4 linked regions of the Oryctolagus cuniculus genome follow. The protein of the gene in region 3 purifies or fractionates together with the protein of the main gene of each other region. This does not show direct contact. Links are inferred from orthologs where the notes say so. Each region holds a gene or a part of one and is shown on either strand. Other genes may lie near its edges.

What was found. Proteins that work in one complex are often made in the same cells at the same time.
Region 1: the proteins of SNRPB2 (region 3) and SF3B4 purify together in Homo sapiens (affinity purification with mass spectrometry; 4 studies listed by BioGRID and IntAct, with this or other methods). This does not show direct contact. The link is inferred for Oryctolagus cuniculus from reciprocal best matches to the Homo sapiens genes SNRPB2 and SF3B4.
Region 2: the proteins of SNRPB2 (region 3) and SF3B1 purify together in Homo sapiens (co-immunoprecipitation; 6 studies listed by BioGRID and IntAct, with this or other methods). This does not show direct contact. The link is inferred for Oryctolagus cuniculus from reciprocal best matches to the Homo sapiens genes SNRPB2 and SF3B1.
Region 4: the proteins of SNRPB2 (region 3) and SNRNP70 purify together in Homo sapiens (affinity purification with mass spectrometry; 5 studies listed by BioGRID and IntAct, counting the BioPlex papers as one, with this or other methods). This does not show direct contact. The link is inferred for Oryctolagus cuniculus from reciprocal best matches to the Homo sapiens genes SNRPB2 and SNRNP70.

Annotation. Positions count from the first base shown.
Region 1 is NC_091438.1:48,025,486-48,031,333, reverse strand, and holds the start of SF3B4 (splicing factor 3B subunit 4), read right to left. Parts: upstream 4,128-5,848; 5' UTR 4,039-4,127; coding exon 4,005-4,038; intron 3,569-4,004; coding exon 3,440-3,568; intron 2,864-3,439; coding exon 2,321-2,863; intron 2,004-2,320; coding exon 1,797-2,003; intron 1-1,796. UniProt on the Homo sapiens protein: Component of the 17S U2 SnRNP complex of the spliceosome, a large ribonucleoprotein complex that removes introns from transcribed pre-mRNAs.
Region 2 is NC_091434.1:42,820,800-42,826,721, reverse strand, and holds the start of SF3B1 (splicing factor 3B subunit 1), read right to left. Parts: upstream 4,128-5,922; 5' UTR 4,113-4,127; coding exon 4,061-4,112; intron 3,860-4,060; coding exon 3,683-3,859; intron 1-3,682. UniProt on the Homo sapiens protein: Component of the 17S U2 SnRNP complex of the spliceosome, a large ribonucleoprotein complex that removes introns from transcribed pre-mRNAs.
Region 3 is NC_091442.1:41,759,843-41,765,777, forward strand, and holds the start of SNRPB2 (U2 small nuclear ribonucleoprotein B''), read left to right. Parts: upstream 1-1,857; 5' UTR 1,858-2,008; exon of another isoform or gene 2,009-2,081; intron 2,082-3,697; 5' UTR 3,698-3,722; coding exon 3,723-3,786; intron 3,787-4,530; coding exon 4,531-4,703; intron 4,704-5,935. UniProt on the Homo sapiens protein: Involved in pre-mRNA splicing as component of the spliceosome. Associated with sn-RNP U2, where it contributes to the binding of stem loop IV of U2 snRNA.
Region 4 is NC_091449.1:8,222,139-8,228,294, forward strand, and holds the start of SNRNP70 (U1 small nuclear ribonucleoprotein 70 kDa), read right to left. Parts: upstream 4,128-6,156; 5' UTR 3,861-4,127; intron 3,349-3,860; 5' UTR 3,339-3,348; coding exon 3,192-3,338; intron 757-3,191; coding exon 694-756; intron 580-693; coding exon 525-579; intron 1-524. UniProt on the Homo sapiens protein: Component of the spliceosomal U1 snRNP, which is essential for recognition of the pre-mRNA 5' splice-site and the subsequent assembly of the spliceosome. SNRNP70 binds to the loop I region of U1-snRNA.

The sequences.
Region 1 (5,848 bases), on a different chromosome or scaffold from region 3:
ACAGAATTTTGAGAAAGGGTATCTGAATACCTGGCGGAAAAACATCTGGGAAAATAGATTCAGGACAACACTGTAATCAAAGTGGCAAGAGATCAGCACAGTTAAGTGTGAAATAACAAGGGACTAAGAGCTTGCACTAGGGCACTGGCAGGGGAGGCAGATACCACAAGTCTAAGAGTTCGTATGACAAGTGAGGCGAGGGCGCAGTGCTGTGGCACAGCAGGTTAAGTGCTGTCTACAATGCTGGCATCCTTATGGGCGCCAGTTTGAGACCCAGATGAAGCTTCTGGCTCCTGGCTTTGGCCTGGCACAGCCCAGGACGTTGCAGCCATTTGGGGAGTAAACCAGCAGATGAAGATTGATTTCTCTGTAGTTCTGCCTTTCAAATAAATAAAATTAATATTTAAAAGCAGGAAGTGAGGTGACAGGGAATAATCAAACACAGCCCTAGACTCATGAATTATGCACCTGAAAAATACGGAAGACTTATAGAATAGGTTTGAAGGGGGAGGGCCCCGCACTGTGGCACAGCAAGTCAAGCAGCTGCTGGTAACTCCAGCATCCCACATGGAGCAAAGGCTCAAGTTCTGACTGCTCCACTTCAGATCCCTGCTAGTGAGCCCGGGAAAGCTGCAGACGATGGTCCAAGTACTTGGGTCCTTGCTCACCCACATGGGAGACACAAATGGAGTTCCTGGCTCCTGGTTTTGGCCTGATCCAGCCCTGGCCATTGCAGCCATTTGAACTAGTAGATGGAAGCTCTCTTTCTCTGTCTCATCTTCTTTGTAACTCTGCCTTTCAAATAAATAATTACATAAAGAAATTTTTTTTGAACGGAAGAGACAGAGTGCCCAGTCGCTGAAACTGGGGGAGAGCGAGGTTACAAGGTTGAAAAGAGAGAATTACACCTGGGCAGGCCAGGAGGGCGGCTCAGTAGAGAGGCAAAGGTGAGCGCACAATCCATTTGGACTCCCTAGGTTTTTTTTGTTTTTTTTTTTCTTTTTTTTCTTTTTATTCACAGAGAGAAAAGAGGCAGAGAAAGAGAAAGGTCTTCCATCTGATGGTTCACTCCTCAATAGGCTGCAATGGCCAGAGCTGTGCCGATCCGAAGCCAGGAGCCAGGAGCCTCCTCCGGGTCTCCCACGCGGGTACAAGAGCCCAAGGACTTGGGCCATCTTCCACTGCTTTCCCAGGCCATAGCAGAGAGCTGTATTGGAAGAGGAGCAGCCGGGACTAGAACCAGCACCTATATGGGATGCCGGAGCTTCAGGCCAGGGTGTTAACCTGCTGTGCCACAGCGCTGGCCCCTACACGTATTTTTTTAAAAAGAGAAAGGTCTGAAGGGGAGAGGTACAAAAGTGGATCTGTCCACTGAGCAACAGGATTATGGATTTAGATTGTTAATAATCATGAACTAGAGATACAGACTAGGAGACATCAGTGTATACTTAATCTAGACCCAGAGAAAAATCAGTTTATCAAATTGACTGAAACTGAGGTGTCAGGTGGAGAATCCAAAAAACAGATGAAAAAAACAGACAAGAATTTCAAACAGGAGTACACAGCTAGTTTCAAATACAGCAGAGGGCAAACCATCTAAGAAGTCGAAGTATCCCCTAGACCACTGCTCTGGGGTTGAGTCAGAGAGAAGGGAAACAACAGGGAACAAACAAACAGCAAGTATAGGCTACTCTGCAGAAAGACTTACACAACAGGACAGGTGGTAAGTAGTAAACTAAAGAGAGCATTTTGTTCGTTCACGCACATCCCTCCCTTTCCCAGCCAAGAACACCTACCTGGATGGGGCATGCCACCTGGTGGGAAGGGGTGAGGATGTGAGTGTCCATGACCAGGATGTCCAGCCCCCGGGGTGCCTGCTGATGGAGGGCCATGTCCTCCAGCCCCAGGAGGCATTGGTGGGGGGGGCATGGCTGGAGGTATTCCAGGTGGGAGGGCTCCAGGAGGCGGCACTGGGGGTGGGAAAGAGCCAGGAGGAGGCATGCCTATATAGAAATCAGAAGAAGGATTAATGGCGGTGGGCAAAGAATGCCTTTAAAGAACCTGTCCCAGTTTGACCTGTCTATGCAGGGTGAGTTCTTGCCCCCTCCTCCCAGTGCTCTAAGGTCACAAGCCATGTTGCACTACTCAAATAATCCTACCTCCCTGGAGAAGCCCGACAGAGTTCTTCACACCCCTCCCACCCACCACCTCCTAACTCCCTTCTCATCACCCACTGACTCAGGAGATCTTCCCTTTCCAGGTTCTTTGTTCTCCTCACTGCAGCCCCAAGACAAACGTATTTGCGAACCAAAAGCTTTACCTGGTGGAGGAAGCCCAGACCCCAGTGATGATACCACAGGGTTGGGAGCAGAGGGTGGAGGGGGTGCATCTGCAAACAGCTGATGTGGGCGATCAGCCTGGGAGAGTGGGTTCTGGGCTGCCAGAAGTCGTTCAGCTGCGGAGCCATGGCGCTCACCCTTGGAGTCCTTCTTGAAGGCATAAGACACGGTGATGGGGCGGTTACAGAGGTACTGCCCATTCATGGCCTCAATTGCTGCATCCGAGGCATCAAATGAAGCAAAATTAATAAAGGCATAACCTTTGGAGTTGCCTGTGTCAGGGTCCCGCATGATCTTGGGGGTTTGTAAGATGACCCCAAAGGCGCTAAAAGTATCGTAAAGCAGCTTCTCGTCAATCTCCGGGTCCAGGTTCCCGATGAAAATGTTGGCCCCGACATCCAGGTTTTTGTTGTGAGCTGATGCCTTGTTCACTCGTATTGGCTTCCCATAGAGTTTGATCATGTTCATGATCTTAATGGCATAGTCAGCATCTTCTTCACTCAAGAATTCCACAAAGCCATAGCCTAAGCAGGCAGAGAGGAGATTAGCAACTAGAGCGAAGATACCCGAAACTGGGTAAAACTCACCCACCCTCCAATCACAAAGAACAAGAAAATGATTTTAGAAACAAACTGTGAACTGAGGATTAAGAGAAAGCAATCTGGGGCCGGTGCTGAGGCACAGTGGGTTGGGCATCTGCCTGCAGCACCAGCATCCCATATGGGCGCCAGCTCAAGTCCCAGCTACCCTACTTCTGATCCAGCTCCCTGCTGATGGCCTGGGAAAGCAGGAGAAGATGGCCCAAGTCTCTGGGTCTCTGCACCAGGGTGGGAGACCTGAAGAAGCTCCTGGCTTCAGACTGGCCCAGCTCCGGCCAGTGCGGCCATTTGGGGAGTGAATCAGTGGATGGAAGGCCTCTCTCTGTCTCTCCCTCTCTCTGTCTGTAACTCTGCCTCCCAAGTAAATAGATAAATCTTTAAAAAAGAGAAAAGAAGAGGAAGCAATCTTCTGGTCGCTCATTCTGAAACAAGTATAAATACCGCTGGGACCCTCAGGAGCAGCTGTCAGATACATAAAGTGGCCTCTTGGCGCGGACTCACCTTGGTGCTGGCCAGTGACTCTGTCCTTCGGCATGTGAGTGTTGACCACCGGTCCTGCCTGCAGGAAGAGCTCCCACAGCAGAGGTTCGCTAACCTTCTCGTCCAGGCCCCCCACGTACACAGTAGCATCTGGAGGGAGGATGCAGGAATTTAGGATGGGGACGAATATGACAGGAAAGGAGCTGACCGGGACATAAAGATGGAACCCAGTTAGAGGAACTGCAGGCGGGGATGTGGGACAGAAGCGAAAAGGGGGAGGTGGAAAGCATCCAAATAAGCCCTAAATCGTCCTCTTCGCAGGACCTAGAGCCCCTTCTGAAGTTCACTTTAGTGTCTGCTGCAAATTCCGTCCCACTCAGAAAAGGCAGCAGGGGGACTGCACGAAACATCACACGTCCAGGCCTCAGCCTGCACCCGGCCAACCCGCCCGCACCAGCCACGGAAGCGAGTCTCGCGCCCTCCGGGGGACGGGGGTCCAGTTTCCCGCCTTGGAGACGCTACTGGCCTTAGCTGGGGCTTCCCACCCTCCCGGGCCCATTCCGGACTCGTCTCCCCGCCCAGTCACCCTGGTTCCGCTCGGAGATCGGCCCGGCAGCCATGGCGAAAAGAATCCCGCCGCCTCCAAGCAGCGGCTCCGCCCTCTGGCCGCGGTCACTACTTCCACTTCCGGGGCGAAGACTTACGTGACGCTGGGCGGGGCCCGGACGGGGGCGGGGCCGGAAGCGGCTGCGGCCATCTTAGGATCCCGCGGGACTTGACGGTGCTGTGGCGTCCCGGTTCAGAGGCGTTTGGATTTGCGCCGAGGTTCCGGGGCGAGCGGTCGTAGCGAGGAGGGCGGGGCAGGAAAGCGCAGGCCCTCTGAAAGCAGTGCCAGACGTCTCCCACCGGTGCGGGCGTTTGGCACAGCGGTTAAGCCACAGCATCCTCAGTCAAGAATTACAGGGTCCGAGCCCCGGTTTCCCCCGACTCGAGCTTCCTGTAAATGCACACCTTGGGAGGCAGCAGAAACCCCAAGTTTGGTCCCTGCCACCCATGTCGGAGACCTGGATTGTTCCCCGCTCCCGGTCTGCGTCTGGCATGGCCCCGACTGTTAGAGGCATTTGGGGGAGTGAACCAGCGGATGGAAGTTGTCTGTTCCTCTCTTTCAAGCTAAAAATAGTAACTCTTCGTGTATTTTGTAGCCAGCTGATCCTTTTGTCACCCAAAGGAAAAGGTTCTCAGGGACCCCTCAACCTAAGGACTCTGCTCCACAAGCGTCTTAGTTTTGGCCTCATGCCTCTGGCTGGCTCGAGGTAATGTCTGAGCCGGAGTGTGAGCAGAATCTGAGGCTCCCCGGATGGAGTGTGACCAAAGCTGCAACTCCAAGAGCACTTTCTGGCCCCAGCAACGTCATAATATGCTCTTGGCTGTCTGCCTCTAAATGGGAGATGAGAATTCTGAGCCTCACGTGGTCCAAATCCATTCCTTTCTTAGAAATCATACGATGGGGACCTTTTCTCAAGTCTTTGCTATCTAGGATCCTTCATTCAAATCCAAGAATCAGTGCCAGCAATGTGTATAAATATTGTGCTTTAATGAACTTAAATAGAAATGCCACTACAAAAATGTACAGTTGGAAGAGAGGGTGTGTTTCATATCCACTTTGTTTCCAAAAGAAACTATACAGGAAGAAACAGAAATTGGAATTAAAATAGGCAGCAAGAAGGGGCAAGAATGAGGTCTTTAGGCCATACTGTTGGAACTGGTGAACAGCGTCTCTGGTGTCACAACTTAAATAGCTGGCTATCTATAAAGCAATTACATTGTGGATTGTTTTGTTTCTTAATTCTTCAACTCCCAGGAAACAACAGCTTCAGGAACCAAATAAAAGGACAAGAATTAAAGATTAGCACCACCGTCCACAACAAACTCAATTCTAAGTGAGTTTGCTTAAGAGCTGGAGTGTGAAAGCTGAGGCAACAAGGCCATATACAAAACACTGCAGTATTAGGACTCTCCCTCAACCCAGATCCCCCGCTGCTCTTTGAGAATGCCAGCAATTTCAGCAGGAATGAGAGAGAATGGTACTTGGATCTCTTTTCTTGGAGTGATCACCAGGAAACGCTCTTGGTGTCCACTTCCTTAATAGTTCCTGAAGATGGGATAGTTCATCCTGGAGGCCAGAGACTGTGAGAGCTGAGAGGCCCATCTGGGAAGGGTGCCAATAGGGACAGAGAGAAACGTCATTGCAGCTCTAGACCCCTGCTTCTAAGATCTGCCCGCTACTTGTGGTGCCTAATTGTCTTTCCCCTCCCAACTCTGCCCTAAATTCCATTTAATGTAAGCTTCTAGCAGTTTCCTCTAACGGTACTTCATTTCCCAGCCCGCCCAGCCCCTTGCCTTCCCAGCTCTGTTCATCTGGTTCAGCTG
Region 2 (5,922 bases), on a different chromosome or scaffold from region 3:
AATGCCAGCATCCCTTATGAGCACCAATTCGAGTTCCAGCTATTCCACTTCTGATCCAGCTCCCTGTGTGGGAAAGCAGCATAAGCACAAGATGGCTCCTGCCCCCCATGTGAGAGACCTGCATGGAGTTCCAAGCTCCTGGCTTCAGCTTGGGCCTGCCCTGGCTGTTGTGGCAATTTGGGGAGTGAATCAGTAGACGGAAAGTCTCTCTCGTTCCCTCCTTCTCTGTAACTCTTTCAAATATATATACATATACATATATATATATATCTTAAATAAGTATATCCTGGCATCTCAACTGTCAGTCTGTTCACTAACAAATCAACAGAACTAACTATAATGTAAATTACTCTATTGAACACTGTAGAAAACAGTGATATATCAATTCCCAAATGAGTCTATGGGGGAAAAAACTTTTAAAACCTTCAAGCAGGGTCCAGCATTGTGGTGCAGTGGGTTAGGCTACCACCTTTGATGCCCCCATCACACACAAGCACTGGTTCAAGCCCTGGCTGTTCCACTCCAAATCCAGCTGCCTGCTAATGTGCCTGGGAAGGCAGCATATAATGGGCCAAGTGCTTGGGCCCCTGCCACCCACAAAGGAGACCTGGATGAAATTCCAGGCTTCTGGTTTCTGTTGCAGACATTAGGCGACTAAACCAGTGGATGGCAGATATGTCTCTACCTTTCTGTCTCTGAAACTGTGCATTTCAAATAAAAATTACAAGGGGGTGGGGCATTGTGGCAGCATGGGGTAAGCCATGCATGAAGTACTTGGGTTCCTGCTACCTACACGGAAGTACCGAATGGAGTTACAGCTTTAGCCTGGCCCAGCCCCAGCTACTATAGTCACTTGAAGAATAAACAAGCAGATGGAAGACCTGTCTGTGTCTGTCTATTCCTCTTCCATTTAAAACTTTTTAAAAATAAAAATAAATTTTTGGGGGAGGGGAGAGGGAGGTATTTAGCGTAGTGTTAAGACATGCTTGGAACACCCATACCCCCTATCAGACAGACTGAATTCAAATCCTGGCTCTGCTCCTGATTCCAATTGCTGCTTCCTGCTAATGCACACCTTGGGAGACAGCAGTAACAGCTCAGATAATTGGGTCCTGTCACCCACATGGGAGACTCAGACCGACTTCCAGGCTCTTGGCTTTGGCCTGGCCCAGCCTTGGCTGTTGCAGGCATTTGGGGAGAACTTGCAGATGGAAGCTCTCTTTCTCTAAATCTTTAAAAAAATTTTTAAATTCTCCAAAAAGCTTACATAAAAAATAATGAATTACATGGTACGACAAAGAAATGTCTGTACCAGAAACATTTAGAATAAATATTGTATAATCTTTTTACTTGAAACAAAAATAAATATTACATATTTTTAAAGGCCACGCCAGTGGGATTCAATCTAAGTCATCCTCTCTATTTCAATAGCCTAAGAATGGTTGCTGACTCCAGGTCATCCTTCACACTACAACCTGTGACCTTCCCAAAACACAGAAATAATATGACCTGGAGGAAAGAGCCAGTATCTGTGGCCACTGGTGGGAAGCCTTCCACGATGACACTAACCTAATATTTCATCCTCTCAGTTGAGGAAGTTCCCAAAGTGTAAAGTCTTGCTTCCCCATCTATCTCACCCAAATACATATAGTCAAGCCAACACAAACTTTCAAAGATCAATTAAGTACCTTTTGTTTGTGAAACTCTTTTAATACTTCCAGTATGTATCTTTCAATGTTGATTAAATATTTAAGCATACATAATGCACCTACTGGGTATTCTAAGATAGAATTCCTGTAAACAACCTCAAAGTATGAGAAAACTTTAATAGAAAAACTATCCTAAGTGAAATAATACAAATATATTGAATACTACAATAGCACACCCCAACCCCAAAAGAAACTAATTTCCAGCTTATAAGAAATCGCTTGACAAGTGAAAATAGCTAAAGCACAAAGAACTAGAGTTCTGCAGAAAAATACCACAAGGAAGAGAGCGAGAAGCTATGCAAATACTGTATTTCTATTTAACAGTTATCACCCTGCAACTTATCACACACAGTGATAATTTTCACAGAAAGTACTCAGATGTTATACCAAATTTTCCACTATTTTCTTTAAGGCATTACTTAATTTACATTGATAGCATAATCTCAAATAAAACAACGATTTGCAATCAAAAGGCCTTTTAGCTGGGTTTCTAACATGCAGGAAAACCAACTGCAATTTTTGATTTTCCTGACCAAGGTTATGAGATATTGAAGATACCAATAAATAAGCAATCAACGCTGCTAAGTGACCCCCAAATGAGTAATCTACTCCTGAATGAACAAAACTTGCAACATCTTTATATTTTCTGGTTATTTTGCAAAAGGTATTTTGAGATAGTCTAAAAACAAAGGATTAAGGCCTAAGAACAGTTCTGGGCTTAGAAAGCATTGAGCCTCAGTTCCATCCACATTCTGGTCCTAACCAACCTTTCCAGATTCATCTTCTACTTCCCCTTTGCACCTCTTTTCCTGCCACTGCAGACTTCTCCAACATACTTTTCAGACGCACTGCCTTGTTAACAGTTCTCTCAGGTTCACACGTCCTCCTCTAATTTAAAACTGACTGATCCTTTCAAGACTGGGGACACGTCACCTCTTCTGTGAAAACAGCCCTAACCATAAATCCATCACTCCTACCCAAGTTCGCAGAACACACTGCTTACATTTCTATCTAAGCAGTCATCTGGCCTCTTAAGAAAATTCAGATAAATACGTGTCAGTGTACCCCATCACACTAGAATGTTTGATGGCCTCTGAGTCGCTTACCTCTCACAGACCAATACCAAACCACACACCAAGAAACGACATACATAAATAACGACATGAAATAAAAGTCATCTTGAAAGCCTTGTGTACAGTGTAAATTTTGGATCCAAAGCCAAATCAAGGAGTGCAGTTCTAAATTCCCAATCCCCACTTCCTATTCTCTGGACACTCCCTAATGGATTTCACTCTACTCCCAACATTCGCCTAATTTTGTATACCCTGTATACTAGAAAAGGATCAACTATCTTCAAAACTTCGGTCACCAGCCAATATAATATGACTTTCCTTTTGCACATGCTCCTCCAATAATCAGCCACCAAAGAAAAAGATAAATATACTATAAATTATTAAGGAAGGCAAAAAACACCGGATCATTTCTTCCAAGAAAAATAATCAAGTAACCCAGACACCTGAAGACACACATTTTACCCAGGGTTAGGAGTCTGCGGCCTCGGTTTAACATTCCCCGAAAAGCGGCTGCCTATTTCAGCGCTTTCCTGACTCCCTGCACAAACTATGCCGACCACAGTACCAAGAGGTGAGCGGGACTCTCCTCCCACGCTTCCCCTATCCGTCGGCCTGGAATCCTCCTTAGCCACCCGCTTAAACGAGGCTTCTGGTCAGGGAAGAGAAGAAACCCTCAAGCAGCTGCATTCAAACACGGAACAAAGCGCCTGTCGTGGGTGTACGAGTAGGACGCCATTACGCGGGGCAGTGGGCTGCGCCGCTAGCGCCGAGGAGACGCCTCAGACCCCCAAAGCGCGGACTCGGCCCCTACAAAAAAACTAAAGGAGCGTCAGAGGCTCGGAAAGGCAGTCTTAGCAGGATGGCGGCAGAGAGGGCACGTAAACGGGAGAGCCTGCTTACCTTCGTGAGTCTTGGCGATCTTCGCCATTTTGTCCACTCGAACACACAGACGGAACTGGCGCTCCCAAGCACTTCCGCTCGTCGCCGCCGCCACGGAGAAAAATAGCTGGGACTGCTCTCTGCGCGTGCGCCAAGCGGGAGCGCGCTCCGTCGAATGACACGTGACAGAGCAGCCACCTAGATGGAATCGCGAGGTGCATTGTGGGTGTGGGAGGAACCGGGATTAGTCCGGGGGCGGGTCTTAGTTTGTGACCCGGGAAAACTCTGCCTGGGGGTGAGGGAGGCAGTGAGTGGGTAGATTACTCGGTGGTGGATAAGAACAGACCCTGTGGGAAACTATGGGTTCGGAGCTGGAAGAGACCTCAGCCTTTCAATTACCTTTGTCCAAATTCAAAGGCGTCTCGGGGCTGGAGAAAAGCTTTCTTAGCATGTTTCAGCTGTTGCCGTGCTTAGCTAAGGAGACAGTCTTAACAGTCTCACACCTCACGCTAACTTTCAAGGTCATTTTTCCTGCTGCCCTTTTCTCAATAATTGCCTGCTGTCTCTATAGGAGTTTCGTTTCCAACTGACGTTGCCAAACTACTTCACAAATAGTCCAGTAAAATAGGCAAGCTATTGCTAATACCATTGAAGACAAAAAAAATTAGAATGGGGAGATATGTAAATTGTGCAAAGTCACACAGTTACCAAATTGCACAACTTGAATGCTGTCACCATTATAAAGCTTTTTCACTTTATAGGTTCTTAGAATACAATTGCCCTAAATGTTACTCCTAAATCAGGAACTTTAGTAAGTCAGAATACAGTGGTGTTCTTTATGCTTAGATATGAATTATGCTGTCATAACTTGACACTATTTTTGGACTTTGGGGTTGAAAAAAACAGAAGAACTAAGGAGGGAGGTTGGGTCTAGGAAGCAGCCTAGGTAAACAGGTAGGGATCAAGGTTAGAGCCAGCAGAAGGTTAGCTTGCTGTTTGATAGACACAGTCTGAATAAATACTTAGTGGAAACTTCAGTAACACATAGGATTTTTATCAGCATCTGTGAAATAATCGATTTAATAAGTTTAAAACTTCAGATGTTTAATTTCCATCTCTTTATTAGTTCAAACAGAAGTTAATCTAATAGGGGGGACTACACTGTGGCCCAGCAGGTTAACGCCCTAGCCTGAAGCACTGGCATCCCACTTGGGTGCTGGTTCCAGTCCCTGCTGCTCCTCTTCCTATCCAGCTCTCTGCTATGGCTTGGGAAAGCAGTAGAAGATGGCCCAAGTGCTGGGGCCCCTGCACCTGCATGGGAGACCTGGAAGAAGCTCCTGGCTCCTGGCTTTGCACAGCCATTGCAGCCATCTGGGGAGTGAACTATCAATGTAAGACCTCTCTGTCTCTGCCTTTCCTCTCTCTGTGTAACTGTGACTTTCAAATAAATAATAAAATTTTTAAAAAAGAAGTTAATCTAATAGGGAATGTGGGGTCAGGATAAGAAAGATTGTTATGCAAATTATTGAGGGGCCCTTGCTGTGGCTTATCAAAGCGTAAAGCTGCTGCCTGCAGTGCCGGCATCCCACTAGGGCACAAGTTCCAGTCCCAGCTGCTCCACTTCCAATCCAGCTCTCTGCTATGACCTGGGAAAGCAGTAGAAGATGGCCCAAGTGCTTGGGCTCCTACACCTGCGTGAGAGGATCTAGAGGAAGTTCCTGGCTCCTAGCTTCAGATCAGCACAACTCAGGCCATTTTTGCCAGTTGGAGAGTGAACCAGCAGATGGAAAACCTCTTTTTCTCTCTGCATCTCCTTCTCACTCTGTGTAACTCTGACTTTCAAATAAAATAAATAAATCTTAAAAAAAAAAACCTGCTAAACAAAAAAAAAATCAAAAGAACATCAAGCTTTTTGCCTCATGTCTTTGAAAAAGACAAATTCTTATATATAAGGTAATCTGTCATGTGAAAAATATATATTGAAAAAGTTGTCGGGCAGGCGCCGTGGCTCACTTGGTTAATACTGCACCTGCAGCGCCGGCATCCCATATGGGCGTTAGGTTCTAATCCCGGTTGCTCCTCTTCCAGTCCAACTCTCTGCTGTGGCCCAGGAGGGCAGTGGAGGATGGCCCAAGTGCTTGGGCCCCTGCATCCGCGTCGGAGACTAGGAAGAAGCCCTTGGCTCTTGGCTTCGGATTGGCATAGCTCCAGTCATGGCAGCCATTTAGGGGGTGAACCAACGGAAGGAAGACCTTTCTCTC
Region 3 (5,935 bases):
AGCCTCTTTCAAGTAATTAATTGCTCAGCTGCTCACCTTATTTTGCAAGGCAGCTTCTCTGCTGTCATTCAGAAATTATTTTATATTTGTTTTGTTTTATATTTTATATTTGTTTATCATTTAGTTTGCTAAGGTACACTCAAAATTTTAAAAAATATTTATCTATTTGAAAGATAGACAGATCTTCCATCCACTGATTTACTTCCAAAATGGCTACAGTCTCCAGGGCTGCACTAGGAGGAAGCCCAAGCATTGGAGCCATCATCTGCTTTCTTCCAGGGTGCATCAGCAGGAAGCTGGATGGGAAGAGGAGCAGCCATGACTCCAACCAGCACACTGATAGGGCATCCGGGTTTCCCAAGAAGTGGTTGAATCTGCTGCATCACAATACCTGCCCCCACAAATAAAGTGAGACAGGACACGTTTCTTCTAGAATTTCTATATATATCATAAGGGAATGCTTTCCAGTGATCATGTAACCTTATTTCCTACACCACTGTGCATCTTAATAAGATATCACACTTGTTTCAGTGTTGCCTTACTTTCCATGAGGCTTCATTCATTTATTCACGCAATGCATATTTACTGAATACAAGGGACTCTTTTAATTACTGAAGGTTTTTAAATGAACAAAACAGACAAAAATCCCCACCTTCAAAGTACTTACATTATTTTTAAGTTGTTGCAACTTTATGTTGACTCTTAAAATAAAACTCCTCAGGTGATAAAATCAAACTATTTGGCCCCTACCACCTTCATCCATACCTCCAAGTCATAGTTAGAGTCTAGAGGTAACATTTAGGAACCAGTGACTTTGTGTAATGTTCTAATCATTTTACAGAGCACCCATTTAGTCCCCAGAGTGATAAGAAGGTACTATTAAGATTCCTGTTACATAGGCAAGGAAAGAGAAAGAGAGATTTAGTTAAGAGGAAGACACAAGGTTAGATTTACTTTGGCTTCTTTAAAAAAATTTTTTTGACTTATTTATTTGCAAAGCAGAGAGAGACAGAGCTCTTTCATCCACTGATTCACTCACCAACTGGCCACAAGGCCGGGGGCTGGGCCAGGCTGAAGCTAGGAGTCTGGAACTCCATTCTGGTCTCCCAGGTGGCTTGCAGAGCCCCAAGTACCTGAGCCCTCAGCTGCTGCCTCCCAGGACAGGATGCATCCGCAGGAAGCCGGATCAGGAGCAGAGCAGCCTGGACACAAATACGGGACGCTGGAGCCCCACGCAACGTCCCAAGCCATGGGGCCCTTTGCTTTGACTCCTAAAGCCTTCCTATTCCAGGTGGCTCTTAGCACGTCTCAGATGACGGATGAACGAATGACCAAATGCACGGTTTTGAATTTCCATTCACTAACACCTTAAGTTATCTCCAGAAAAATCTAAGCATCTGCGGGGAGTGCAGTGAGAAGGGTGTCGGGAACTCAAGTGTTTTGTGGTGTTTTGAGTGAGTTTAGGTAGATGTTAAAGGCACACCCCACTCAGTCTCTGCTCCAGGGCCTCCGACTCCAGCTCTGCCTCTCAGAGTTAAGCTCATCAGCAGAGTGTTGAGGAGCTACCTCAGAACCCCTGGCAGCAGTATAGGCTGTCCTAAAGGTGAGGCTGACCCATAGAAGGGGTGAAACCAGCAGGAGGGGCTGCGCCCGCAAACCTCACATAGGATTCAGAAAGGTAGAGGGAACTGCTATGTGAGTTAAAACCTCCCTCAGTCTTAGTGGGGGTAAATGAACCACTCTTTTTTATTACCTCACAGCATGGCCCCAGGGTTCTATCCAGTTCTCTCAACCCTCTTCCGTTTTCCCGGGCCCTCTTTCAGCAGAGCACGTAGGCGCATGCGCAGAGAGTTCCCCAGCTTGGGGCCGCGGGAGACCGGGAGGCATCGATCGACTCGGCGCTGGGCTTCTCGACTTGTCGGCGCTCGATTGAGGAGTTTCATTGTCACTTCCGCCTTCGGCACCGTTTCCGGCTTCCGGTTGCTCGTGGGAACGGCGTAGTCCTCTGGTGAGTCGGATTCCCGTTTTCCTCGGTTTTGCGGTTCTTCACGCTGCTCAGCCCGAACAGTACGAGGCGCGAGGTGTGGTCGGGTGGCGTCTCGCCTTGGTTTTGTGGAGGGGTCGGTTTGAGACGAGGGAGCGGCCATGCAGGGGAGCTTAGCAGCGGCGCGCGTCTCTGGCGGGACTGGCGCGGTCCTTGGATCGCGGCGTGGCCCCGGGGCAGAGAGTCTGTGTCTGGAGAGGCAGGAAGCTGGCGCGTACAGAGTACGCCCGTTAATGCGAGGCGTGGGAGATTCCAGGTGGTTTCCTGCGGATCTGTTGTTTCTGTTTTGGCGGAGGGGAGAGGTGCGACACCAGGTGCCCTGCTCTGATTAGCCCAGCACCGAGCTTCTTGGTCTCTTGTTCTCCTCGCCTTCACTTTAATCTCTCTCGCTCCCTTCTCATGGTCAAAACTTGGCGACCCCCTGCTCCTCTTCCAGGTTTCGACTGGGGAAATGTCGAGTCTTTAAGAAACGTTTCTATTCATCTGCCACCTGCACAAGTACATCGGTCTATAGGCTCCTCCCTCGCTGTGTGTAAACACAGCAAGCAGTGTTTAGTACCTAATTATCTGTGGGCCATCCAGGGAAGTAAAGCAAGGTCACACTTGGCAACTTAAAAACCACGTGAAGTGTGGAAATCGTCCAGTGGGTTGCAAGGACGGAATTCCCAGGCCTTCTGATCAAGAGCTGTGTGACCTCAAGCGTGCTCCCTGACTTGTAACAGCCATGATATTAGCTCCTTTGGGGGCTTCTGATGCAAGAGCTGTGCTAGAACTTCGGGGGCTCTGGCCAGCCCCGCCCCCACCTCAGCCCCGTCTGACAGATGAAGACCTGAGAGATTAAGGTCTTTGCCAAGTCTGTTAGAGGTCATCCTGGAGTGAAGATGGCAGGTGGAAATTTATGCACAGTGATTGATAGATATGGAAGTGCTTTGTAAGTGCACCCAGGAACAAACTACATTGATGTTCTGTCTTAACGATTTGTTCTGGATTGTACACTTGGTAGTTTCTTTTTCATTTTTCTTTATGTCAAAATTTTTAAACCAGCTTACAAATACAAGTTACTTCATTAGGCAGATGGGAAGTAGCACAAGTGAAAGGAAAGTATAAAAATGTATTGAATACAATTTTATTAAACTCTGGCAAGCTGCTGTTGTTTCACTAAATTTTGAGCTTGAGAATTGTAAAAATGAGGGCTTGCGGTTTGCATCTGATGTAGCAGTTAAGATGTCTGCCCCATGTCAGAGTGCCTGGGCTTGAGTTCCGGCTCTCGCTCCTGACTCCGGCTTCCGCTAATGCAGACCTGAGAGACAGCAGTGGTGGCTCAAGTGATTGGGTTCTTGCACACACGTGGGACACCTGGATTGAGGAGCCTCTAGCTTCACTTGACCTCAGTCGAGCTGGGCCACAGCTGGGCATTTGGGACGTGAAGCAGAGCTTTGGAGCTCATTGTCTGCCTCTGGCTGTGTGTGCGTTTGCCTCTCAAACAGAAATACAGAGGAGGACTAGCTATTGCTGGAGAGAGAGTCTATGACCCAACTGACATTCTGACATAGCGATTGAAAGAAAACGGAAAAGCCAACAGCTTTCTGCTGTATTGATTTAATCACACCTGTTTGTAACAGTTTTTTTTTTTTTTTTTTATCCTCTCTTTAGGCTATTTGAACATTTTAACTCAGACATGGATATCAGACCAAATCATACAATTTATATTAATAATATGAATGACAAAATTAAAAAAGAAGGTAAGTGTTTTTAAAAATACTTATTGATAACTAAAATGTGTTTGTTTACTACCATCTTACAAAATTGTACTACACCCAAACTCATTTTTCTTACCTCCAGTAATAAATTTTTTTTTTTTTTTTTTTTTGACAGGCATAGTGGACAGTGAGAGAGAGAGAGACAGAGAGAAAGGTCTTCCTTTTGCCGTTGGTTCACCCTCCAATGGCCGCCGCGGCCGGCGCATCACGCTGATCCAATGGCAGGAGCCAGGAGCCAGGTGCTTTTCCTGGTCTCCCATGGGGTGCAGGGCCCAAGCACCTGGGCCATCCTCTACTGCACTCCCTGGCCACAGCAGAGGGCTGGCCTGGAAGAGGGGCAACCGGGACAGAATCTGGCTCCCTGACTGGGACTAGAACCCGGTGTGCCGGCGCCCCAAGGCGGAGGATTAGCCTAGTGAGCCGCGGTGCCGGCCTCCAGTAATAAATTTATAAAGTTTGTGTAAGGATTTCCAGGCTTTTTAAAAACAAAAATAGGTAGTGACTGACAACATGCTGAATCTGTTCTTACTCATAGCTACTCATATAATGGTTTCAAATAACTTTTTACGTTAGATAACCAATGGGAATAGCAATTTGTGTTTTTACTTACATATATAACTACTAACTGTATAAATAAATGGTGACAGAGCACTCAATGTACTGTCATTTAATGAAGAATTTTCTCATTCCTTCGTTCACAAGTTATTTCCCCTCTTATTTGGACAGAATTGAAGAGATCCCTGTATGCCCTATTTTCTCAGTTTGGCCATGTGGTAGATATTGTGGCTTTAAAGACCATGAAGATGAGAGGGCAGGCCTTTGTTATTTTTAAGGAACTGGGCTCATCCACAAATGCTTTGAGACAGTTACAAGGATTTCCATTTTATGGTAAACCAATGGTAAGCCAGTACTGTTACTTTTGCTTTAATCACTATGAATGTTTCGTAGATTTGTAAATATATGCTTGAAACTGTGGTTTTTGCTTTCACTTTTAATTAAGTGTGTTATAGGGAGTTCGAGTTCCTTTTATTTATGTATTTTTCATAGAAATACAGAAGTAGAGGTTAATTCATTCTTATGACAGTTCAAATAGGCAAAAACAGAATGCACTGAGATGTAGAATATTTTCAAAATAATGGCAGTATAGACAATGTTCTTGTCTTAAAAATACTGGAAATTAATAATAACCCAAAGATTTAAAATGATAACTAAACTTGTGAAGCAATATAAAACAAAAATTATGGATCAAAGAGGAAATCCAGTCTGAAGTTTCAGCGAATAGAGTAGTGAAAACCTTTCAGAAATTAGGCAGTCTAGGTAAAACATTGATCTTGGGGAAAGTCATAGGTTTAACACATAGGTTTTATGAAGGGCAGTGAGTGGAAATGGAATTTTTATACGTGGAGAGTGTTAAAACTTTGGAGTAACAGAAAGATTCACATCTGCTACTGGATGAAGATTGGACTGGGGAGTAAAGAGGGAGAGTACGGAATTCACTTGGTGTGAATCAGAGATGGTGGGGACTTGGATAAAGGTGGAGACAGTGTGAGGCAAGGCTTCTATGTGCCTGAATGAGTGCAGAGTACTTTGGGTGTGTGTTCCAGACTGTGTCTCTTCAGCAATTGGGATGAGAGGAGAAGGGATCTTAGCTCTGGGTCCCCATTCTGATTTTTCTGTTATCTCACTCAGAGTGTGCAGTGACTTCACTATCTCCGGAGTGCAGGCAGGCTGTGTATTCTTTGCTCTAATTCAAGCATCAACAAAAACTGTAAAGAATGAAATAATATTTTATATATTATGGGTCACACAGTTTCTGTTACCTGTTCTTTTGTGTTTGTTGCTTTTTTTTTTTTTTTTTTTTTTTTTTTTTTTTTTTTTTTTTTTTTGACAGGCAGAGTGGACAGAGAGAGAGACAGAGAGAAAGGTCTTCCTTTTGCCGTTGGTTCACCCTCCAATGGCCGCTGTGGCCGGCACACCATGCTGATCCGAAGCCAGGAACCAGGTGCTTCTCCTGGTCTCCCAGTGGGTGCAGGGCCCAAGGACTTGGGCCATCCTCCTCTGCACTCCCAGGCCACAGCAGAGAGCTGGCCTGGAAGAGGGGCAACTGGGAGAGAATCCAGCGCTCCGACCG
Region 4 (6,156 bases), on a different chromosome or scaffold from region 3:
ACAGCTGGACAGGGAAGGAAACAGCCACAGGCAGGGGAGTGCCCACTGCAGGCGCACTGGGTCTGGGACGCCCTGGAGCCCCGCAGCCAGGCCGGCCTGCTCGTGAGCTCAGGGAGACAGCTGCAGGTGTCTGCGGGAGCGGACAGGTCTGTCCCCGCAGGGAGTGAGGCTGCCACCGACGCCTCCGCAGGTCCTCAGTGAAGGAGGCTGCAGGCTGCCTCCCGCCCCCTCGCCAGCTCAGTGAGCAGCTACGATGGACGTCTCCGGCAGTTTCTCCTGCACTTGGAAGGGCCAGCACCACCCCAAAGGGCAGGGAGCGCAAGCAGAGCCAGGACTGCTCACTGCTGTGCAGCTGCCACCTCAGCCTGTGGGGTCCCCCAAGTGCACGCCCCTCCCCACAACTAAACCCTACAGCCTGCTAAATAAGCAAATCAAGAACCCTGCCTTCACCAAAATCAGGCCTTCGGGCGAGCAGGATACGAGGCTTGGCCTGGGGAGGACAGAGCAGACAGAAGAGCACTTACACATTTTTAGCTCCGTCTCCACTTCCTGCTGTCGCCGCTCAATCTTTTCTCTTCTCTGTTGAGAAAGGCGAGGCAGAGCTGTGAGTGCAGACTCAAGTGCCCCGACGCCAGCAGCCGTCTGAAGGAAGCGGCCCCCACCCCCTCAAGGACACTCCGGGGAGGGAAGTACCTTTCTCTCCATGCGTTCCTCCCGGGTCTCTGCACGCGTTGGAGGGGGGGCATCTCGAGGGTCCTGGGAACAAGAACGGAGGGACAGGGTGGAGGGACGGGGACAACCAGCGAATAGCACAGCGCTGCCCCACTGTCACAAACACACGTGGGCAGTTCCCAGGCCACACTGGAGGCAAAAGTGACAAGATCAATGCACATCCACAGACCGACGCTGTCCACAAACTCTGCGGTCTGAGAGAGATGAAAAGTATCTGGAAACTTCCACAGCAATTTGACAGAGCAGTGTTACGCACACTCACTCCAGAGATAAACCCCAACCTTTACAGGTGCTTCTTTTGATTTTTTTCTTAAAGACGGGAACAGCCAAGGTCAGGGAGCCCAGGCATTCAACCCAAGCCTCTTACACTTGACCACCAGCCTGTTGCCTTTTTTTTTTTTTTATTATTTGACTGACAGAGTTAGAGAGACAGAGAAACGTCTTCCTTCTGTTGGTTCACCCCCCAAATGGCTGCTCCGGCTGGAGCTACGCCGATCCAAATCCAGGAGCCAGGTGCTTCTCCTGGTCTCCCATGGGGTGCAGGGGCCAACCACTTGGGCCATCCTCCACTGCACTCCCTGGCCACAGCAGAGAGCTGGACTGGAAGAGGGGCAGCCGGGACTAGAACCCGGTGCACATATGGGATGCCGGTGCTGCAGGCAGAGGATTAACCAAGTGAACCACGGCGCCAGCCCCAGGTGTTTCTTTTGAAAACCCCAAGAGCTGACACATGGCACAGTGAAGCTGCCACCTGTGGCGCCAGCATCCTCTATCAGAGTGCCGGCTGGAATCCAGCTGCTCCACTTACAATCCACCTCCCTAATGCGCCTGGGAAAGCAGCAGACGATGGTCTGAGTGCTTGGTCTCTGTCATCCACGTGGGAGACCTGGACAGAGTTCCTGGTTTCTAGTTTTGGCCTGGCCCAGCCATAGCTTCTGCAGCCATCTGTGGAGTGAGCCAGTGGACAGAAGACCTGTCTCTCCCTCTCTCCTTCTCATTCAAAATAATCTCACTACATTTATTGAAATTTTCAATCTTGGGCTGTTGCAGCAGCGTGGAAGATGAAACCTCTCTACAGCGCTGCATCCCACACAGGCACTGGTTTGAGTCCCGGCTGCTTCACTTCTGGTCCAGCTAAGGCCTGGGAAAGCAGCAGACGATGGTCCAAGTGCGTGGACCTCTGCACCTTCACAGGAGACCCAGAAGAAACTCCTGACTTCTGGCTTCAGACCAGCACAGCTCCAGCCACTGCGGCCATGTGGGGAGTGAACCAGTGGACGCAAGACCTTTCTGTCTCTCCCCTCCTCCTCTGTAACTCTGCCTTTCAATTAAATAAATACTAATTCCTTTAAGATAGTCTCACAGGTCCCTGTCTTGCACCGACGACGACGTGTCTGAGGACGTGACAAAGCAGAGTGGGGGCGGGGGCGCTTGCTCAGGAGAGCAGCAGCAGGAGCTGACACCTGGGCACGTCCTGAGGGCCAGGCAGCTCTCTGAGCCCTCGCAGCCACTCCGTAGGCAGCGATCACCAGACAGAGTTGCTGGCCTGTGCCCATTAAATTAATTTAATTGGCTAATAACACTTCCCAAGCACGAGTTCACTGGGAGTGGCCAATCCAGTAAGAGCCACCTTGTGTCACCTCGGCTCTGGAGCCTCCATCGCAGCCTCTCCCTACAGCACTGGAGCGGCCTGTGACACGGACCGCCCTGAGGCGGGGTCATCACCCGACCTTACAAATGAAAACACTGAGATCCCGGAGCCTAAGCTGCACCAACGGTGACCCACAGTGCAGATCTGAGAGCCCCAGGCTACGGTCTTAATTACGCCACCCACACAGTGCCAATTCTTCAGGAACGACACTCCGTTAACAAGAACGGCAAATACAGGGGCCGGTGCTGTGGCACGGTGGGTTAACACCCCAGCCTGCAGCGCCAGCATCCCATAGGGGCTGCCAATTCGACTCTCCGCTGCTCCACTTCTGATCCAGCTCTCTGCCACGGCCTGGGAACGCAGTATAAGACGACCCAGGTCCTTGGGCCCCTGCACCCGTGTGGGAGTCAGGGAAGCTCCCGGCTTCGGATCAGCTCAGTTATGGCTGTTGCGGCCATCTGGGGAGTGAACAAGTGGATGGAAGACCCCTCTCTCTCTAACTCCATCTTTCAAATAAAGAAAAATAAATGTTTTAAAAACATGGCAAATACAGTCACAAATGCTGACACGTATCGACTGCTTGGTACCAAGCGCTCTGCCGTAAATGCTATTTATTCTCCGTCCTGCTGTCAAAGACAGCGAATGCATCGTGGGGATTCTGTACCGCCCAAGACCACACAGCAGAGAAGCACCCGGCGTCCGCGGCCGACCCCTCCCGCCGCGTCCTCCCCAGCGCCTTCCAGGGGCTGCCCTGCCAGGCCCCCCGAGGCCTGGAAGTGTCCACAGCCGCGAAGCCGGCCTGGCTCACCTCGAACTCCCGGATGTAGGGCGCGATGCCGCAGTAGGGCTGGTTGTGGTGCTTCTCGTGCGGCAGCTTTTCCAGGGGCGGCAGGTAGGGGATGGGGTCCCGGGGAGCGAAGAGGGCCAGGAGGTTGGGCGGCAGGAACTGGGTCATCTTGCCAGGTCTGGGGAGAGAGGGTCAAGGCCTTGTGGCGGCTGCCTCGCCCGGGGAGCGCGCCGCCGCCGCCGCCGCCGCCGGGGGAACAAAGGCCGAAGCGCGGGCGAGCGGGCAGTCGGGGCTGCGGCCGAGGGAGGCGCCCGGGGCGGGGGTCGCAGGCGCTGGGTAGCCGGAAGTCGGCGCGCACCCCGCTCCCCGCCCCCACCACGCAGGGGCTTGTGGGTAGCAGGTCTGGGCTCCCGGCGGCGAGAGGCATTGTGGGTAATGGTCCAGGGCGCCCCGAGAAGCGAGGGAGGGGGCGGGGAAAGGGCAACAAACGCGCAAGGGCCTGTGGGAAGGGGACGGCGGCGGGCGGGGGCGTGTTTTGGGGAGAGCGCCGAGTGTCCGGGAAATTCTAGGCGAGGGCCGCGGAACGGTGCTGCAGGGGGGACGCGGCCGTCAGGGAGGGGACCCCGGCCCACCGCAGGGGCTTGTGGGTAGCGGCCCCGCACCCCCTCAAGACCACTGGGTCCCACTCACCCGCCGCGCGGTGCCCTCCTCGGCCTGGCGTCGGTCCGGGGGCTCGCGGCGGCTGCGGCGGCCCTTCAGCAACAAGCACTCCTGCTCCGGCTTCGACTCCGGCGCCGTCGGACTCGGTCGCCCGCCCCCCGCGCGCGCAGCAGGCCTCTGCTCGCGAGCCCGCGCGGCTTCGGCTCGCAACGGGAGCAGGAGGTGGAGCCCGGCCTCAAATCCCTCCGCCGTCGCCCTGCGCACGCGCAGCGCCAGCCGCGCGCAACCGACCTACAGACACCGGGGCCGCCGCGGGCACGGCGCACGCGCGAGGCCCTTGCCCCGCCTCCCGGCGCCTTCAACTGCGTGCCGCGGCTGGCTGCGGCCGTACTACGCACGCGCGCTCGTCCCCAAGCGCCGCTTTCCACCTCGCGCCTGGACTCCAACCGCCTTTGCCCGCGAGGCTCATCCCGAAGCCCCGCCCCCTTACCTAGCACACTTCCCGGATCTTTGGCGCATGCGCATTGACTAGAGAACGGGTAATACCCTTCCGCCACCTGGCAAAGAGTCCCTACGGGAATAGTGTTGGTTGCGTTGATCGTCCGGCTAGTGGGCGTCCAGCAATCGCTGTTTAGGCGCTGGAGGTGTGAAAACCTGATTTTTGGTTCCTTACTTTGTACTGAGGGAGAGTGTAAAGGTATTTAGATGAAAAATACAACTTCAGGTAGTGGCCATCTCAAGGACAAGAGCAGGGTGGGGGGCGGGAGGGGACAGCGAGGGGGACAGAGGCGCCCAGGGCGATCGGGGCGCGGCTAACGGCAGGTGCCCAGGGCCTGAGCTGGGACGGGCATTTCCTGGGTGTCCTGCATGGGCACTTGGTCCCAGGACCGAATTCTGCCCGTGAGTGTGAAATGGCCCGCTGCTCACTTAACGATGCCTAACACAATGTGAAGCCTGCGCCAAAATTATCCTTTATCATTTAGGGCATGAAGAAAAGTCTGCGTGTTCAGTACAGACGCGCTGTTTGCTTTCTGGAATGTTTCGGGTGCACAGCCCGTGGTGGTGGAGAGTGGACCGCACTGTGCTTGATGCCTTTAGGGGGAGCTCCGTTGCCTCGTTCATGATACCCAGATTACTAACTTCACTTTTTTGGCACAATTTTTACTTATTGGGAAGGAGAGGGACGCAGAGCGGTCTTGCTGGTTCACCCCCGAGACGCCCACGACAGCCAGGGCTGGCTCACAAGTCCTGGGGCGCATTGAGTGAGGTGCGGTCGCCGGGACCTGCGTGGGCGTCGTTTCTGAAATCCTTGCAGGGGTCAGGGGCTGGCGCTGGGACACCGGGCAGCCCCACCGGCGAGGCTGGCGTCCCAGCTGCTGCGTTTCCCGCCAGCTCCCTGGCCAGGGGCCCGAGCAGAGGAAGACGGCCTGTGTGGGAGGCCTGGGTGGGGTCCTGGCTCCTGGCTTCAGCCTGGCCCAATCGCAGACATTTGGGAAGCGAACCAGCAGACGGAAGATCTCTGTCTCTGTCTCTGTCTCTCTCTTTTTTTTTTTTTTTTTTGACAGGCAGAGTGGACAGTGAGAGAGACAGAGAGAAAGGTCTTCCTTTGCCGTTGGTTCACCCTCCAATGGCCGCCGCGGCTGGCGCACCATGCTGATCCGATGGCAGGAGCCAGGTGCTTCTCCTGGTCTCCCATGGGGTGCAGGGCCCAAAGACTTGGGCCATCCTCCACTGCACTCCCGGGCCACAGCAGAGAGCTGGCCTGGAAGAGGGGCAACCGGGACAAAATCTGGTGCCCCAAGCGGGACTAGAACCCGGTGTGCCGGCGCCGCAAGGCGGAGGATTAGCCTAGTGAGCCGCGGTGCCGGCTTCTGTCTGCCTCTCCTTCTCTCTCTATGTAACTCTGACTTTTAAATAAATAAATCTTTTTTAAAAAGTTTTATTTGAAAGTGTTACTGAGAAGGGAGAGAGAGAGAGACTCTTGCATCCGCTGTTTCGGTCCCCAAATGGTCACAGCAGCTGGGGCGGGGCCAGGCCACAGTCAGGACCTGGAGCTCCATCCAGGTCTCCCAGGTCAGTGCCCAGCGTCTGCTGCTCTGCCGAGTGCACTGTCAGGGAGCTGGATCAGAAATGGAACAGCAGGCGCTGGGCTGCTGGCCTCACACTGTGGCTTAGCCTGCTGCGCCAGCACCAGGATAACATTCTTAGCGAGAGCCTTTGGCTGGTGATACATTGTTATCAGATCCGCCCCAGGGCATCAGGGCCTGAAGCACCACCCAGTGATGGTAGCAGCCTCGGGGATCCTTGCCTGCTCCCAGGATTGCCA